2 linked regions of the Rattus norvegicus genome follow. The protein of the gene in region 1 binds, or shares a complex with, the protein of each later gene. Links are inferred from orthologs where the notes say so. Each region holds a gene or a part of one and is shown on either strand. Other genes may lie near its edges. The genes, in order: Dock5 and Rhog.

Region 1 (7,686 bases):
ACAGTGGTTATGAATTTATTTTATATCCATAGTAGTAAATGAAATAAGCTTTCAGGACTGTTAAATGTAAAGTAATGTAAATGTAAATCACCTGCTTTGTGATTTTTTGATGCATTGTGGAGCACTGTTAGCAGGGGCGTTACAGATAACCCCATGCTCTTTGGGAGCAGCTCGAAATCGGAAAGGGGTCGAGCCAGATCTGGAAACAATGGCCTCTGCCTACCGTGCCCTCTTCTCAGGATCTGACATCCTCCTGTGAAATGTCTTCCATTTCAGTTTGAGAATGAGTTGATCACAAAGCTGGATCAGGAAGTAGAAGGTGGCCGAGGAGATGAACAATACAAGGTTCTTCTGGAAAAGCTGTGAGTATCTCAGAACAGCACCTCAGGCCAGAGGTAGACAGAAGCAACTGTCCACCCAGCAGTGGGTTGGCAGGTTCAAAGTCACCAGTCACCAACTGGTCCTTGGTGGTGTGGATGGAATATACACAGCAGGTAGTGCTTAACCAATGGGAGTCCATGCTGGGGTTCTCTAACCAGCCTGGCCCTGGGGATCATAGCAGAGGGGAGCTAGGAGGTGACACACGCAGCAATGGCATCCTGCCTGGTGTCTTAATTATGAACTTGAGCAGAAGTGGGGCACCTCTAATTGTGACTTCAAAGCAGCCGTTTAAAGGAAGTTAAGATTGACTTTAAACTTAAAAATACCTTGCATGCCATCAAAGAACTATGAGAACAGAAAAGTTGTCTCTCAGCCAGCTGGGGTGCTGCACTCCTTGAAGACAACATCTCTGAGCCCACAATGTCACTTCGTCTGCTGCCTCCCCTACTCAGCCTCTGCACAATCCGTCCTTTCGTGCTGCCCACAGGGCTGTTGTGTGGTGCAAGTGTCCGGCTACTAGACTGGCAGGAATAAGTACAAACCCTCTTTTCACCACGTTCTTGGATCTTGTCTTTGCAGCCAGTGAGTCAGTCTTTCAGATCAAGCACCCCACCCCACCTCCATGTGTAAGAGTAGTGTCTACTCTCTACTCCTATTCTCAGGAGTAAGTGAGGCAGTATGCCAACAGAGTGTGGCTTGCACAGTTCACACTTTAAAAAGTTTGACTACAGGTGGGCAGTGTGGCTCTGCCAGCCAGGGAACTTGACAGCCTGAACTCGATCCCTGAGGCCCACACAGTAGAAGGAGAAAACCAGCTCCTGAGGTCCTCTACACATGTGCTGCAACATGTACCTGTATCCACACACATACACAGGAGATGATATGCATTTTTTGTTGTTATTTTTAAGATTGACTGTAATTATTGTCTTCTCATCCCATTGTGTAGATGGCTATTCACATTGGTTTCTCATGCTGTCTGAACTTTGACAACCGGCCACCTAGGTCACACATTGTGTCATGTAAACTGGTTATTCTCCTATTCTGGGGAAACTTTGTTGAACCAGTCTGAACGCAAATATAGAGTCCACAAACTTTGATCATATCTCTTAATGATATCCTGAGTAGGAGCCAAAACACTGAGCTCAAGAATTGAATGTCTTTGTTCTGTTTACAGATGGAATAAAGTGATCTTTCTATCCTTTTTCCGTGAGGTCTCATACCTTCAAACGCTCCTAGCTTATAGCTTTTGAAATCCTGGATTTGTCTGGAAGTTACACAGAGATAGAAACAGATGTAAGATTTGGGGGTAGTTGGGCGTGGTGGAACCTGATCCCAGCACCCTGGAGGCAGAGGTTAGAGAATCTCTATGAGTTCAGAGTCAGCCTGGTCTACATGGTGAGTTCCAGGCCAGCCAGTTCTGCAAAGTGTGATTCTTGCTTTTGAAAAGATCTGTTGACATATAGCTCATCAGTAGAACCCTCCCAACACACACACACACACACACACACACACACACACACACACACACACACACACACACACACAAACACAACACAACACAAGATAGAATACACATTAAAAAAAATCCCAACACCTTCATGGAGAGATCTTACTTTGTTTCCCTTATTCTTTCTGGATCCTTGGCTCAGAAAAATATAACTACATCAATTCCAACACCTAAAAATACCCCTAGAATCTGGGCTAATTATTATATATTTATATTTACTAGAGAGAGAGAGAGAGAGAGAGAGAGAGAGAGAGAGAGAGAGAGAGAATATATGGATGTGCTCATGAGTGCAGGTACCTTCTAAGGAGGGTATCAGATCCTCCAGAGCTGTAGTTACAAGAGGTTATGGGCTGCCCAACAGGGGTGCTGAAGAACCAAACTCAGGTTCTCTGCAAGAACAGTCTACACTTTTAACCACTGGGCCATCTCTCCAGTCCCATGTCTGGGTTGATTCTTTAGATGCATAACAATTTCTGAATTTTCTTTTAGTTACTGAAGAAGCTCCACAACTTTGCTCTCTATGTCCCCAAAAGGGGAGGGCTGGATCTGAGGTGTAGCTCCAGTCTGTCTCCCAGTTCTGCCTTTCTATCTGAAGACCTATCCAAATGTCTACTAAGTTCCTCTAGTCCTGGCTTCTACCTGGGATTTTTCCGACCATCTGTTCAATGCCAGGCCCTTGGAAGAACAAAGCCATATTGCTGAGGGGTGTATGAACACTGTAGGCAAGGGCTCTCATTTCTGCAATGTTCACTAAAGAAATTTTTGACTAGCTAGAGTTCAGAACAACATTGTGACCTGGAGTTCTAAACAATTGATGGGAATTGACTGTGTTCCCAAAAAAGAGTTGAACCTAAGAAAATAGTAGGTCTAATATGAGTCCTATTGAAATTCTGAGGGAGGGCACCTTGGGTTCCACAGGGGATGTCTATTATCTTTAGAGCCTCTTGCTGCTTGGACTTGGTTGGGGCCCACAGCAGCTAGGTGAGCCACAGAAATTTTCTCTCCCCACTCCAGACTCTTAGAGCATTGCCGGAAACATAAATACCTCTCGAGCTCTGGGGAAGTCTTTGCGCTTCTGGTAAGCAGCCTCCTAGAGAACTTGCTGGACTACAGAACCATCATCATGCACGATGAAAGCAAGGAGAACCGCATGAGCTGTACAGTAAACGTTCTGGTAAGGGCCTGGTTCCTGGGCTTGTGAGTGGGCTCAGCTCAGCCACCCCTGCTCCACCAACTCAGCTCTAAGTTGATAGCACAGATGCCCAGTCACCCTGGGGCAGGAGCTCATGCCCTACTCACAGATAGCAGGCACAGACTTTTAGGTACCTGGAAACAATCTTGACACTCTAGCCTTTCCCAGAGACTTCTTCAGCCTGGCTGTTGGTCTTACATGTACTTATTTTCCCGTTGTAATGGAGCACACAGAAACCTATGCCATGAAATGATTTAGTCTGTGCAATTCTCCTGACAGTAAAACTCTAGTCTTCCCTCTTCTTGGAACCACAGACCTCCAAGGTTTAGGTTGCTATGTATGTATTCCTCTGCTTAATATAAACCAAGAACATCCCATCTCCCTGACTGCCAGAGACGTAAGTGTACCAGGTGGCTTCAGAATAAGACAAGCACCTGCTGCTCCCATAGAAAATCTCTTACATTTCTCAGAAGTGTGGTCTTAATTTCTCTAGTTCTTTATAGCCCATTGCTTCCCATATTTGTAAAGGAAATTCTTAAGGGAGACGATGTCTTTTTGGAAAAGCAGCAGGTGGGGTAGAGAGTTGTTTCATGGTTTAGACTGTGTGCTGCTCTTCTAGAAGACACACAAGTTTGGTTCCCAGCACATGTGTCAGTTGGCTCACAACCTCCTGTAGATCCAGCTCCAGATGCCCTCCTCTGGCCTCTGATGGCAACTATGCTCGCACGCTCAAACACTTAAAGGAGCAGTCATGCTTTGGCTATTTTTGTGTCAAGTTCATCAACAGCCTTTAATTTATGTTGGTATTTTGTGACCTTCTTTTTGGCAGAATTTCTATAAAGAAAAGAAGCGAGAGGACATATACATACGGTAAGTGAAGGAAATGCCTTGGTTTTGCTATCTGTGTCATGGGTTTGCAGTATATTTTTAAATCAGAAAACACTGCCCGAAAAGCACCATTGCTGCCTAGATAGATTCCTGCAAATACAGGATGTGTGCAGTCTGCCTCAGAGGCTGAGCTCTCTAGACAGAGGCACAGACAAATATGGTTTGAGGGAGTGTGTAATAGCATCAAGAGAGTCATCAGCATTTAAGGAGGGATAGAAGAGACTAAACTGGACAGAAAAGAGAAATAACCCATAGTGGCCCCTTGGTTTGAGGGTCATGAGTCTCCGACCATGAAGTCAACTTGTTAATAGAATTTCTAAAGCTTTACCTCACATCCCAAAGAGGATCAATAAAATAATAATAATAATAATAATAATAATAATAATAATAATAATAATAATTAAGAACACAAAACAGAAGAGCTAAGAAAACCACAGGGCAGGAAGAGGTACCATGTGCTAGAGAAATAGGAGGTGGTGAGTCTATTGCCTAAGAGAAGGGAGGTGTTCCTGTTAGAAGCAGAAGGTTATGTGCAGGCTGCGGCCTAACTGGAGAATGCTGAGTACTGGTTCATCTCCTTGGTGACAAAGGGCCTCTTCTCTCCTGTCTTATCAGGTATTTATACAAGCTTCGAGATTTGCACAGAGACTGTGAGAACTACACAGAAGCTGCCTACACACTCCTCTTACATGCGGAGCTTCTGCAGGTAAATGGGTCCTATGTAAAAGACCCACGGGGTATCCCACGTGTTCAGTCCTCTGGGTCTGAATTCCATCAAGTTCATGATATGGGCCAGAAAGAAGCTTACTCAAGGGATATAGTGTGTCATCTAGGAATGCCTTCCTGTGTTCTGGATAAACAGGGTCACATTTCAGACCAAGACTGGGAAGATAATCATTTGATGTTTAAAGCTCCTTGGAAAGCAGGGCACAACCCAGCAGCCTCTGTGAGGGTTGACATTCTAATTAGTTAAATAGATGTTCATTATGTGTAAAGAGATTAGTAAAATGGTAGAGAGGTGGGAGAAGGACTCGCCTATATAACCCATCCATCCTCTCCAAATAAAATTATAGTGGGGCATGATATCAGTGCTTTTGCTTGTCCCAAATCCCAGGCAATTATTTGAAGCCCTGTCCTCCTTTGGATTCCTGTGTAAGCATCAGTGACTGCCTCAACCTGTCCAAACCACAAGCCTTTGACCCCACTCTGCTCGTCCCCTTCTCTTTCTGATCTCCCCTTCTGCCCAGGGGCCTAGCCACATTCCACCCTTCGCTTTTAGCTGCTGCCTTCTACTTCTCCATGAATAGCATGTGCCCTAAATCTATCTTCTACTTAAAAAAAAGCCCTTGCTGCCATCCGTGTCCAGGCCCCTGATTCTCCCCCTGAAGTACTATACTGGCCTCTCCCTAAACCTCTTGCTTTCATTCTTAAAACAGGTAGTTTATCTTGATTCGATTTGATTCTAAAAGTCTACCCGTGCATCATTCTCAGCAGCTAAACACTGGAGTCCCCGAGAGGTTGGAATACTGAGGGGTTTTCTGCATCTGTACGGTTTGCTACCCATGATATCAGAGAATGGTTCCCAGAGATAACCCTGTAGGTCTTTCTAGTTTTGCTGCCCAGAAAATTAAACTCTCAAGCTAGCCATGGTGGTGCAAACCTATAATTCTGGCACTTAGAAAGCTGAGAACGGGGGATGGTAAGTTCAGGGAGAGCCGTAATTCATAGGGAAATTACCAAAAATTTGAAAAGTGAAGAAAAAGAACATTAAGTTGTCCTGATATGGGGTAAGGTAAGAAGTGTGGATTCGGCTTTTCTTCCCAGCTAGCTACTCAGTAGAGACGGTATTTGTTAAATCTAATCTGAATTTCATCCACTGGCCTGAGATCCCAGCTTTATCTCTGTGCGGGAGGAGATTCCGTTCTAGTAATCTCCCTGCATGTGGACCTCTGTTCATGCACTAAGGCTACATTGTTGTTATGATCCATTCCGTACAGCATGTTATCTCAGGCATATTTACTCCTCATTGCCCCCATGCCCACCAGTGCTGTTTCTCATTCCTTTGTATTTTTCCATCTGGGCCTTAGAATCCTGGAATTTCAAATAACTTGACCCTCAGGGTATAGGTCAGTAGTGGAGCACTCACTTGGCATGCTCGCACCCCTACTTTCAGGCCCAAGAAAGAAGGGGAGAAAGGAGAGGAAGGCAAGGAGGAGAGGGGAAGAGAAGGGAAGGAATCGGAAAGGGAACTGGGAAATGAACTAACTTTGCAGGGCTTGCCAAGATAGACCTGTAATTGTAGTTGGTAGGGAGAAGGCCGAGGCTGGAGGATTCTGCCTTGAAGGCCAGCCTGAAAGACTTAGTGAGACCTCAAGTGTCAAAAAATTTAGAAATATATAAATAGGGCTGGGGTGCAGCTCAGTTGGAGTGCACATACCTAGCATGCATAAAACACCGGGTCCAATTCACACCACCACCAAAGAACGGCAGAGGGGCTGGGGGAGGGCTTTAGTAAGAACTTAAGTGCTTATGAAATGGTGTTCCCCTCCCAAGGCATAGTGAGAGTTTCCCTTTTCTTGGGGCTACAGTTGTGCCTTTGAATGGTGGGGTCTTGTGTAATCCTGAAGAGTTGTTTAACGGCTTTATTGTGATGGACAGTTGTTTCCGATGTCTTCTGTGTGGCTTTGTAGCCAAGGTCCATCCTCAAACGTTTTTTATTCCTTGGCTTCTGAGTTCTCCAAGCTGGTTTTGCACTGAGCTGCTGTGTACTATGGAGAAGGAACTGTCTGCAGACAGCCATAGTTTTAGCTGCTCCTCCATGGCTGTGGGCCTAGCGTGTTTCTCTCATCTGGTTATGTTCAGGATGCCTTCCATACAGTATTGCTCTGGGGTAGCAGCCTCTCTCCATTCCTCCCTTGCTGAGGAACACTGCAGGTGCCTGGCCATTTGGCGTGACACTTGTTTCAGAGCGGAACTGACATATGGGCCTCCTCGCGTATGTAATTTTGTGTTTGGTAAATAACTTAAAACACAATATGGGTGAGTTGACGGCACCCAAGGAAGTAGATTCCTGACTTTTTTCGTGTGAAGTTTTGCCTCATTAAACCTGTATTCTTTTTCTTTTTGTAGTGGTCGGACAAGCCCTGTATGCCCCATTTGCTGCAGAGGGATAGTTACTATGTTTATACCCAGCAGGAGCTTAAAGAGAAACTATATCAAGAGATCATATCCTATTTTGATAAAGGCAAAGTGAGTAAGAAGGAGGGGATCTCATTTGTTGTTGTCTGGGTTTTGTTGTTGGTTTTTTGTTTTTGTTTTTTTACTACTAGAAAGAGAAAAATTTGAATTGAATACATTTCTAATTCTGAGTGCTAAGTCTGCACAGAGCACACAGGATAAGGGCACTGCCCCCAGCAAAATGACATAAGCTTAGGAGATGGTTCAGTGTATAAAGTGCTTGCTATACAAGAATAAGGACCTGGGTTCTGATCCCCAGCATGTCCCCCGCAGGCCATGGGGACATGGTCCTGTAACCCCAGTATTGGGAGAAGGAGACAGTTTTCCAGGGCTTGCTGGTCAGCCAGGCTAGCCAAGATGGTGAACTTCAGGTTTACTAAAAGATCCTGTTTCAAGAAAAGATAAGGTAAAAGGGTAATTTTGGAGCTGGGCATGGTTGCACTCGCCTTTAATCCTAGCACCTGGGAGGCAGAGGCAGGCT
Region 2 (8,486 bases), on another chromosome or scaffold:
TGAGTAGTGTAGCTTTCTTCAGACACACTAGAAGAGGGCATCAGATCTCATTACCGATGGTTGTGAGCCACCACGTGGTTGCTGGGAATTGAACTCAGGACCTCTAGAAGAGCAGTAGGTGCTCTTAACCACTGAGCCATCTCTCCAGCCCCAGGTCTCTCTTTTCTAATAATATCAGAACGGGGTCTTCTGCCCTCTCCACTTCATTGTTGGAATGTAAAATTATGCTGGGCAGCCAGCAGACTACATGAGTATGCACTGAGGGGGCTGTGGAGAGATGACTCAGATGGTAAAGTGCTTGTGAAAGCATAAAGACAAATTCAAATCTCTGTGGCACCCAAGTATACATAGCACAATGGCGTGGACTTGCAATCCCAGTCCTGGGAGTAGCAGACAGGAGGATCCCCTGGACTTGCTAGCCATCCGGTCTAGCCCAGCTGAAGGTGGAAAGTGACTGGGGAAGACACCTGACTTTAACTTGTGGCCTACACACACACACACACACACACACACACACACACACACACACACACACTGAATTGAAGTGATGAATGCAAGACAGCGTGTGACTGGTCAAAGGCCCTTAGATACATCACCACCAGGATTTGAATTCTAACAACTATTCTATCATGGATAATCTACCCCACTCCACGCCCCAAAAAAACTTTTCAGAGGCAGAGACTGGTGTTCAAGGTCAGCCACAGTTCATCAGGCGTGGGAGCCTAATCACATGAAACAAACAACAAAAACAAACAAACAACTTCCCTATGTCCTCTTATTTCTAAATACCCAGGTCCTGTGGGTACCTCAGTTGTCTATAAGTATATGACATGTACCACTTGCATGAACTCACCTGAAAGCTCATGAAAGACTAGGAAAAAGACTATGGCGTGAACTTTCTCCAGTTTAGATTCTCCTCTTCCAAGAAGCCTTTCCAGATGGCTCTACCTCTCTGCCTACCTCCCCTCTTTTGGCCTTACTGACCCTTCTCACATCTGTAACACAAAAGTGGTTCCGAATCACCTGGATGCTGATGACTCTACACATATTAGTAATTTATTGAAGCAATTTCATTCCACAGATGTTTACCGAACACAAGTGTATGCTCGGACGTGCCTGCGCCAGGCCCAGTGGGTGGACACAGAGATGAATCAGACACAACCTCAAAGGACTTAACAGTTGGTAGAGGAGACAGACATTAGACACAGATACAATTTACTAGAACTCAAAACAGGATGACCTAAGTGATATTAAGGAACCATGAGCAATGTGCTATATGCATAAACCTCAATTACTTAATTATTATTCTCAGGAGTGCATTGCAGAAGGTCAGAGCTGAAGGGGCTCTCATCTGCCCCAACACCTTGTTTACCAGTCGGGGGAAGTTGAGACTCAGAAATGGGTAAGGGCATGGCCTAAAACCTTTCCAGTCTTAGTCCTGGGATTTCAGCTCCTCCTCTGGAAGCTTCGGGTGCAATAGTTCTATATTCCATCAAACAGATGTCTAAGAAAGTTCTCCCTCCTGGACGAAGGTAAGGCAAACCCAAGACACTCAGAGCCCAGGCGGCAGAGTGTGACCCTAAGCTGCCAGCCCAGCTCTCAATCTATTTACCCAGTGTTCTTTCTACCTTGTTCCTACCACGGTGCCCCTCAATTGATTCTAAATAAACAAGCTATTGCTTGTGGTGTTGGGGTACAGACCTAAACACATGACAAGCACGCATTCTATCACTGAGCGATAGCCTAATTTTCAAATATTTTTTCAGGATTTTGTTTCTGGTTTGTTGTTGTTGTTTGTTTGTTTTTTTGAAACCGGGTTTCCTGGCTGTTCTGGAATGTAGACCAGGGTGGCCTTGAACTCGAGAACTTTTTTTTTATTAAGGTAAGGTTTCATATAGCCCGGGTTAGCCTTAAACTTCTGAACTTCCTGCCTCTAACTCTGTAATGCTGAGACTACAAACGTGCTACCACACCTGGCTTGGAACATACTTTTAATGGCTTCATTGAAGCCACTTGAACGTGACCCTGTTATTTGGGGGATTCACAAACCTCTTTCCATTAAACACCAAGCACTTGTTCTGCACTCCCAAATTTCCTCTAGCCCCTCCTATTCTCCTCTCCTCATAGGGAGGAATTTGCCTGTGGACTGAAGAAGAAGAAAAGGGCCCACAAACTGCCTGAGCGATGAGAACTGGCTTCTGGAGGATCTGAGAACTCGCATTCAGTCACTCACTGACCAGCCTGAGTTCGATTGTCTGAATTTGACTTTCTATACAGTAACACAGCATAGACACCTATTCTGTTATCTCCACATCCTCTGGATGGAGAATTTTTTGTTGATTTTACAAAAAAAAAAAAAAAAGATACTTGGAAACATTAAACTATTTGTCAGACCCGATCCACTTTATTTGGAGGGCCTCTGTAAGACGGGTTGTCTATCTCGAACTGTTTTCACTGCACCTTGCGGAGCTCTGCACTTGGTAGAGCACCCAGAAAATTGCTTTAAAAAATGTTGATTCTCCAGTAAAATTCTGCGCCCAAGGCCTGGGTTGGAAGCACCAGAGGGCGCCCACGAGGCCGCCCACTCGCTTGTCTCCAGGGCCCAGGCCGGACCTCAAGCCTGGGTGCGGTCCTACCGCTCCAAGCAGCCGCGCGCCAAGGCAAGATCAGGGAACAAGAAGAGCCCCACGTCTTCCCACGCCCCGCCCCCTCCCCAGGGCCCCGCGGAGCCGCGAGGTGCGGAACCACGACACGACATCCTGTTTTGGGGGCCCGCGCGGCTCCGCCTGCATCTCTGCTGATCATGTCTTTTCCCGGGGTGCTGACGGCAGCTGCCCTGCCCCCACCTCTATCTCCCCACCCTCCCCAGGGGTCTGGAACCTTCCCACTGCTGAATCACCAACACCCGGCACTCTCCCAAGGCTCAGGGCAGGGGTGGGGACTGCCCCAGCCTGACCCATTCCGGCTAATCCCTAGCCAGCCATGGCTACCTCTAGATTCCCGGGCAGAGCGGAAGGCATTTCTCAGCCTTCCCGCGGAGGTTGCGGGGCGGGGAGTGAGATACTAGGAAGAGAACAAATGCCCTGCGCCTAGCTTAGGGCCCCTGCTAGGGTGGGATGCCAAGTGAAAGTGGGGAGACCTGACCTTGAGAGGCCACACTCAAGGGGTCTCAGGGAGAAGAGTGGCGGGAAGCAGGGGGTGCAGGACTGTGCGGCGGGCAAAGCTTACAGAAGACCCCAGGCTGTGGAGGGTGGGGGAGGCCGCGGACTTCCTGGTCCGCCCCGCCCGGGCCGGCCCGCCCCCGCGCCCCGCCCCGGCCCCGCCGGCCCGTCCCCCACCCCCCCACTTCCTCCGGCCTCCAGCTCTCACTTCCTTCTTGAGCCCAGAGCCGCCGCCGCCGCCCCCAGCTCCCCCGCCGCGGGGAGGGCACCAGGTGAGGCCAGGGTCGGGCCTGGTGGGCAGGGGTCCTGGGAAGAAGAGTTCAGCCGGTCGGGACTGAGTACCCACGAGCCGGGGAGTTTGCAGGAGGGAGGACGAGGGCGGGAGGTTTTCGTTCACTGCAAGTTGGGCGGGCGCGGCAGGCCGGGCGGGGACAGCGGCCACCGCGAGCCGATCGCTGGTGGCTGGGTTGAGTGTGGGATCCCAGGGACAGCGCGGGCTTCTGCTGTCTGCGAGGGACCCCTGAGATCCGAACCGTGAGAGGCTCGGAAGTGGGAAAGCGCTGAGCTGGTGAGGCTGGGACTCTGCGGTGGGGTGCCCTCCGAAGTTGTGGGGGGTTGTTCAGTAGTGTGTGAAAGGAAAGGGCCTCTGGGCTGCAGAAGGCGCGCTCTCTGCTCTGCAGTTGTGACATTTGTGAGACTGGGGTGTGGGGGTTGGGGGGCGGTGTCTGGGGCCTCTGAAGTCTGAGACTGCAGAGAAAGGTCTCACCCGGGAAGGTCGGAGCCAGTCCATAGCTACACTGTTGCTGCTGAGGATGAGGTGGGGGAATCCCCATTCCCTCTCTCAGTTTTTTTCTGAGCCAACCTCTTTATTCCTATCCCATGCAACAACAGGTATTTAGTGAACACGTCTGTTGTGTCTATCTGACTCAATCTGGCCTTGCTTTTTTTTTTTTTTTTTCCGGATAAACCTAGGAAGGAAAGGGCCTCCATACCGATAGTCGCTGACAACTTACGGGACTTTGAGAAGCAGCTGGAGTTCTGACTTAGGGGAATGATTGAGAGCTCTTAAGACGTCTCCCTCACCTGAATTCCACATACTGTCTTCCTCCACTCTCCTTCGTGTCTACCACATTCTCCTTCAGTTTCTTTTCCCCCAGCCACATTGATGTATGCAGGCCCTGATACATTTACTCTGCCCTGTTGTTTTCTGCTCAGTTCTCTGCTCTCTCCCCATTCCATCTCTTCCCATCCTCTGACTGCCACACACATCTCTCCCCATTTTGTTTCTGTCTTCCCTGCCGCCCTCAGTCTTTCTCCTTTCCTTGGTCTGTACTCTAACTTTGGTGTCAGAAACTGCTTTAGACTTGCTGACTTTAGGAGCCTTTTTCGAGCCTCTTTAGCTTAGTGGAGATGCTGGCTGCAGCCTTCCAAGGATGGAGATGATTAAAGGGCTGGAAACATGTGCACACGCGCGTGAACATGCAAGTTCTGGTGTGTCAACATCTTTATCTCTTAGAGACAAAATAACTATCTGCCCTCAGCCTTGAGAAGTCCCAGAGCAGAAGCCGGCAGAATGAAGGGAACCTGCGGTGGGTGACACTGTGGTTAGGCAGGGGAAGCAGTCTGTAGCAGCCAGAGTTGAGTGACACAAGAATAAGACTAGTTAGAAAGTCCATGGGAAATCAAACTACCCTGATTCTTCCCAGTCTCCTAGCACTTACTGATTCTAAGGAGTGGGGAGAGTGTGTTGGGCCATTTGGTCTGCTAGGAAAAGGAAGGGGGCAAAGGCAAGATTCTGGAGGGAAAGCTGCAGCAAGTCTAACTTAAGTCTCTACTGTTTTTTTAAAATTTTGATCAGGAAAGGGCTTCGAGGCAAGGGTGTTTGTCCTTCCTCCCTGCTGCTCGGTGGGGACTGCAGACATTGGGTATCTACATTTTCTGGTGTGTGTCAATGCCTTCACTGGGAGTTGTACTGACCCTCCTGTCTTTAAGCATCCGTGATGTTCTCTTCTTACCAAGGTCTCTATTCCCGCTCTCTGAGGGGTTTCTCCAAAGTCTAACGTAGTCTGTCCTGGCCCTGTAAGTGCTTGTCTCCATTCTGGAGCCCCTCCTCAGCCTTTGGATTACATGCTCAGATTTTGTTTGTCTCTGCCTCCACTGCTCTTCTTCTCTCCATGAGAATAAAGAGAAGTGGAGGAGAGCAAATGTCACATTTGGGGGATCGTCGAGCACAGCTAAATTTAAGAGCTAGGCTCCTTCCCTTTCCTATCCTCTTACCACCTCACAGTTGTCCCTCTCCCATCAATTGTTCCTTCCTCTGGGCCTGCCCTTCTCCACCTGTCTTTCCTACTCTCATTTCTGGGAGGTACAGAGGTTTGGCCCCACGGAGGAAATCCAAGGGATCTGTATTAAATCCCAGCTCGGGAAAGGATGTGCATACGGCACATTTTCTTGGCATCACAGCTCAATAAAAGTCGTCAGGAGCCCTGATTCTTAGCTTGACAAACCAGTACTGAGTTTAGCATTTGGTATAACTAAGCAACCCACAAGGCTCCGAGAGCAGAGATAATGGTGGCAGTAACAGGGTTTTTTTCTCTTAGGCAAGATCTGGCCACATTGGAAATTTGAGCTAATTGCAAGAAGAGTGTGACCAGGATGGGAGGAATCTAAGTAGGAAAACGCTGTGGATGGTTAAGGTAATATGAGAAGTGGTAGGGTGACGATGCTGCTCGTCCTGCTTAGCAGTCTGGGCTATGGAGAGTCGCTTCAGGGAAGATGTTAAGGCAGATGATAGTAGCTATTGAGGGGCTATGAGCAAGAAGATACAAAAGGCTGTGGTTATATGGGCAGCTGTGAAGATACGGGTGATAGTAGCTGGAGAACAGAGAATACAGAAGGGTGCTGGGCACAGTCTGAAAAACCTCTTCTTTCATGTAGCGTCGATCCATTAGAGGTGAGGTTTGTAGGGGTCTGTGAGAGGACCTTCGAAGGGAAACCAAAGACAAAGCCTGGGCCACCTCCCCAGATCAGACTGGTTTTCCTGTCCAGGGTCCAGCTTCCTCTTTTGTCCTCATCTCACATGGGGGGAGGGCATGTCCCTAGGAGCTAAAGACCAAAGGAGGAGCTTCTCAGCTAGGACAAGACCAGGGTAGCTGGCTGTCCAGTAGCACACTGTTAATGCTAAACCATGAGCAGTACAAGCTGCACTGGGGCTGGGAGGCTGGATAGCTTAAAAGCAAAAGGATGCAGATGGATTTCAGCCTGACTCCTTTGGCCCATTGCTTTATCTATTGAGATTTCTGTATATATATTATGTATGGGTGTTTTGCCTACATATGTGTATGTGTACCATATCCATGCCTGATGCCCACGGAGGGTGTCAGATCCCCTGGAACTGGAACTCTATGGACCTGTGAGTCACCCTGTGGGTGCTGGGAATGAAAACTGGGTCCTCTGCAAGGACAAGTGCTCTTAATCCCACTAAACCATCTCTCTAGCCCTCTCACCCATTACTTAAAGAAGCAAACCATGCTAGGGCCATCTTAAAGTCAAAGTTCAGAGTAAAGGTCTTCACCTTTTCTGCTTTGTGAGACAATCAGGCCAGAGGTTAGATCTGGTCCTCACCCTAAATTTGCAACTAAGTCTTTGTATCAGTCTGGTCAACTGAGTATCTCTTGACTCTATTTTAACATTAAGTTGCAAACCAGACCTGGTGGTACACACCTTTAATCCCAGTGCTTGGGAGGCAGAAGCCCACCTGGTCTGCATATCAAGTTTCAGGCTAGCCAAGGTGACATACAGTAAGACCGTTTCAGAAAAACGGCTTACGTTTTCAGTGCCTCAGACCCATCCTTCATGTCTCAACAGCCTTGATCTGAGCAGGTTAGAACTGTCGCTCTTTATTCAAAGTACAAAGATTGCTGTAGGTGGACAGATAAAAAGGCAGTAATGCTGGGATCTTGTCTCAGGACTCCAGGATGGGCTGTATACCTTGCCCTCTGCCCCAGCTGTGTGCCCACTAACAGTGGAAAATAGATGTAGCGTTTCCTCCCCGTTTATTTTTTCCCCTTTGTGGAAACCCCCTCAGACCTTGGGTGGCACACTTAGAGGACTAGGAAGCCCTGGGTTTCTCTGTTTTTAAGGTAGGGGACAGGATTGCAAGGTTGGCACTCCCAGCCTCATGTGAAGTGAGCAAAGGAAGTGCCACTTCACAGACCCAGAGGTTGCTGAGCTGCTGCTAGGCAGGGAGAAATAAGCCAGTGTGTGAGCCTTCCTCTGTGTGGCTGGGTGGGGGAGGGGCGGCCTGGCTCCCCAAGCTGGAGCTGTCCTGTCTCTGGGGCTCACCCTTTGTGGAACATCCTGGGTGCTGGGATGAGCATGGGACAGACTTAGTGAAGCTGTCTCAAGTCTCTGTGCCCTCAGCTCCAATGCCTTGTTTCTTCCTCCTCTGTAGTCAGTCCCTAGAAAGTAGCATCAAGTCTCTCTTACCCTACCTACCATAGTCCAAACTCCTCTGTGCTGGATCCCAGAGGTGGAAAAGGACAAAAAGGGAAGAGTCCTTCAGTGTGGGCTTTTTTTTTTTTTTTTCCTCTTTTTTCCCCTTTCCAGACAGGGTTTCTCTGTGTAGCCCTGGCTGTCCTGGAACTCACTCTGTAGACCAAGCTAGCCTTGAACTCAAGAGTTTTAGTGCAGTGCCTCTGTCTCCAGAGTGCTGGGATTAAAGGCATGTGCCACTACACTGCCCTCAGGACTTTCCCTTTCTCTTCTTTAAGACTGGGAACTGGGTTCTCTTGGGTTCTTCCCTGCTGCTGCTGAGAAGGGGTAGAAAGAGCCTCAGCCCTTGGCCTGGTCCCAGGCCCACACTGACCTCATGTCTCCCCCAGCTTCCTCCTCCCAGCCCAGCTGCAGTCAGCTGCATCCCCAGTGTGAGCCTCCTTGTTTTACCTACAAACAAACAAGCAAACAAACAAACAAACTTGCAGTGCCCCGTCCCTGGCCTGGTTGTCTTTGGCCAAAGGTCTGCAGCTATTCCCATCTAATCCTTGGCCTGTCTTCTATTTTTTCTTCCCATTTTCTTCAGCCCCTTTGAATTACCACTGCCTGACTTCTTACTCTTAGCCGAGGACAGAGCAATCTAGTTTGTGCGACCCTAACTTTCTGTTTCTCTTGAGCGAGGAAGAAGTTGGCTACCTTTGTCCAGTGTCTCTTGGACATAGAGGCTTTCCTTGTTCCTAGTCTCAATGTCAGGATTGATTGGGGGGAGGGGGTTGTATGTCACTCTGCAACTTCTGTTCAGCCTTGTGCCGGGCTTCTACACATAAACGG

What was found.
Region 2: the proteins of Dock5 (region 1) and Rhog are in contact, whole or in part, in a cryo-EM structure (PDB 8XM7), measured with the Homo sapiens proteins. The link is inferred for Rattus norvegicus from reciprocal best matches to the Homo sapiens genes DOCK5 and RHOG. Residues at the interface, in NP_079216.4 of Homo sapiens: Val232, Phe345, Asn393, His394, Lys395, Gly396, Trp400; in NP_001656.2 of Homo sapiens: Ala121, Pro123, Leu126, Arg127, Arg128, Lys130.

What each region holds. Positions count from the first base shown.
Region 1 is NC_086033.1:46,181,446-46,189,131, reverse strand, and holds part of Dock5 (dedicator of cytokinesis protein 5), read left to right. Parts: intron 1-276; coding exon 277-362; intron 363-2,902; coding exon 2,903-3,062; intron 3,063-3,909; coding exon 3,910-3,950; intron 3,951-4,583; coding exon 4,584-4,674; intron 4,675-7,097; coding exon 7,098-7,217; intron 7,218-7,686. UniProt on the Homo sapiens protein: Guanine nucleotide exchange factor (GEF) for Rho and Rac. GEF proteins activate small GTPases by exchanging bound GDP for free GTP. Along with DOCK1, mediates CRK/CRKL regulation of epithelial and endothelial cell spreading and migration on type IV collagen.
Region 2 is NC_086019.1:166,037,123-166,045,608, reverse strand, and holds the start of Rhog (rho-related GTP-binding protein RhoG), read left to right. Parts: upstream 1-3,407; 5' UTR 3,408-3,433; intron 3,434-3,474; exon of another isoform or gene 3,475-3,729; intron 3,730-5,761; exon of another isoform or gene 5,762-5,857; intron 5,858-8,486.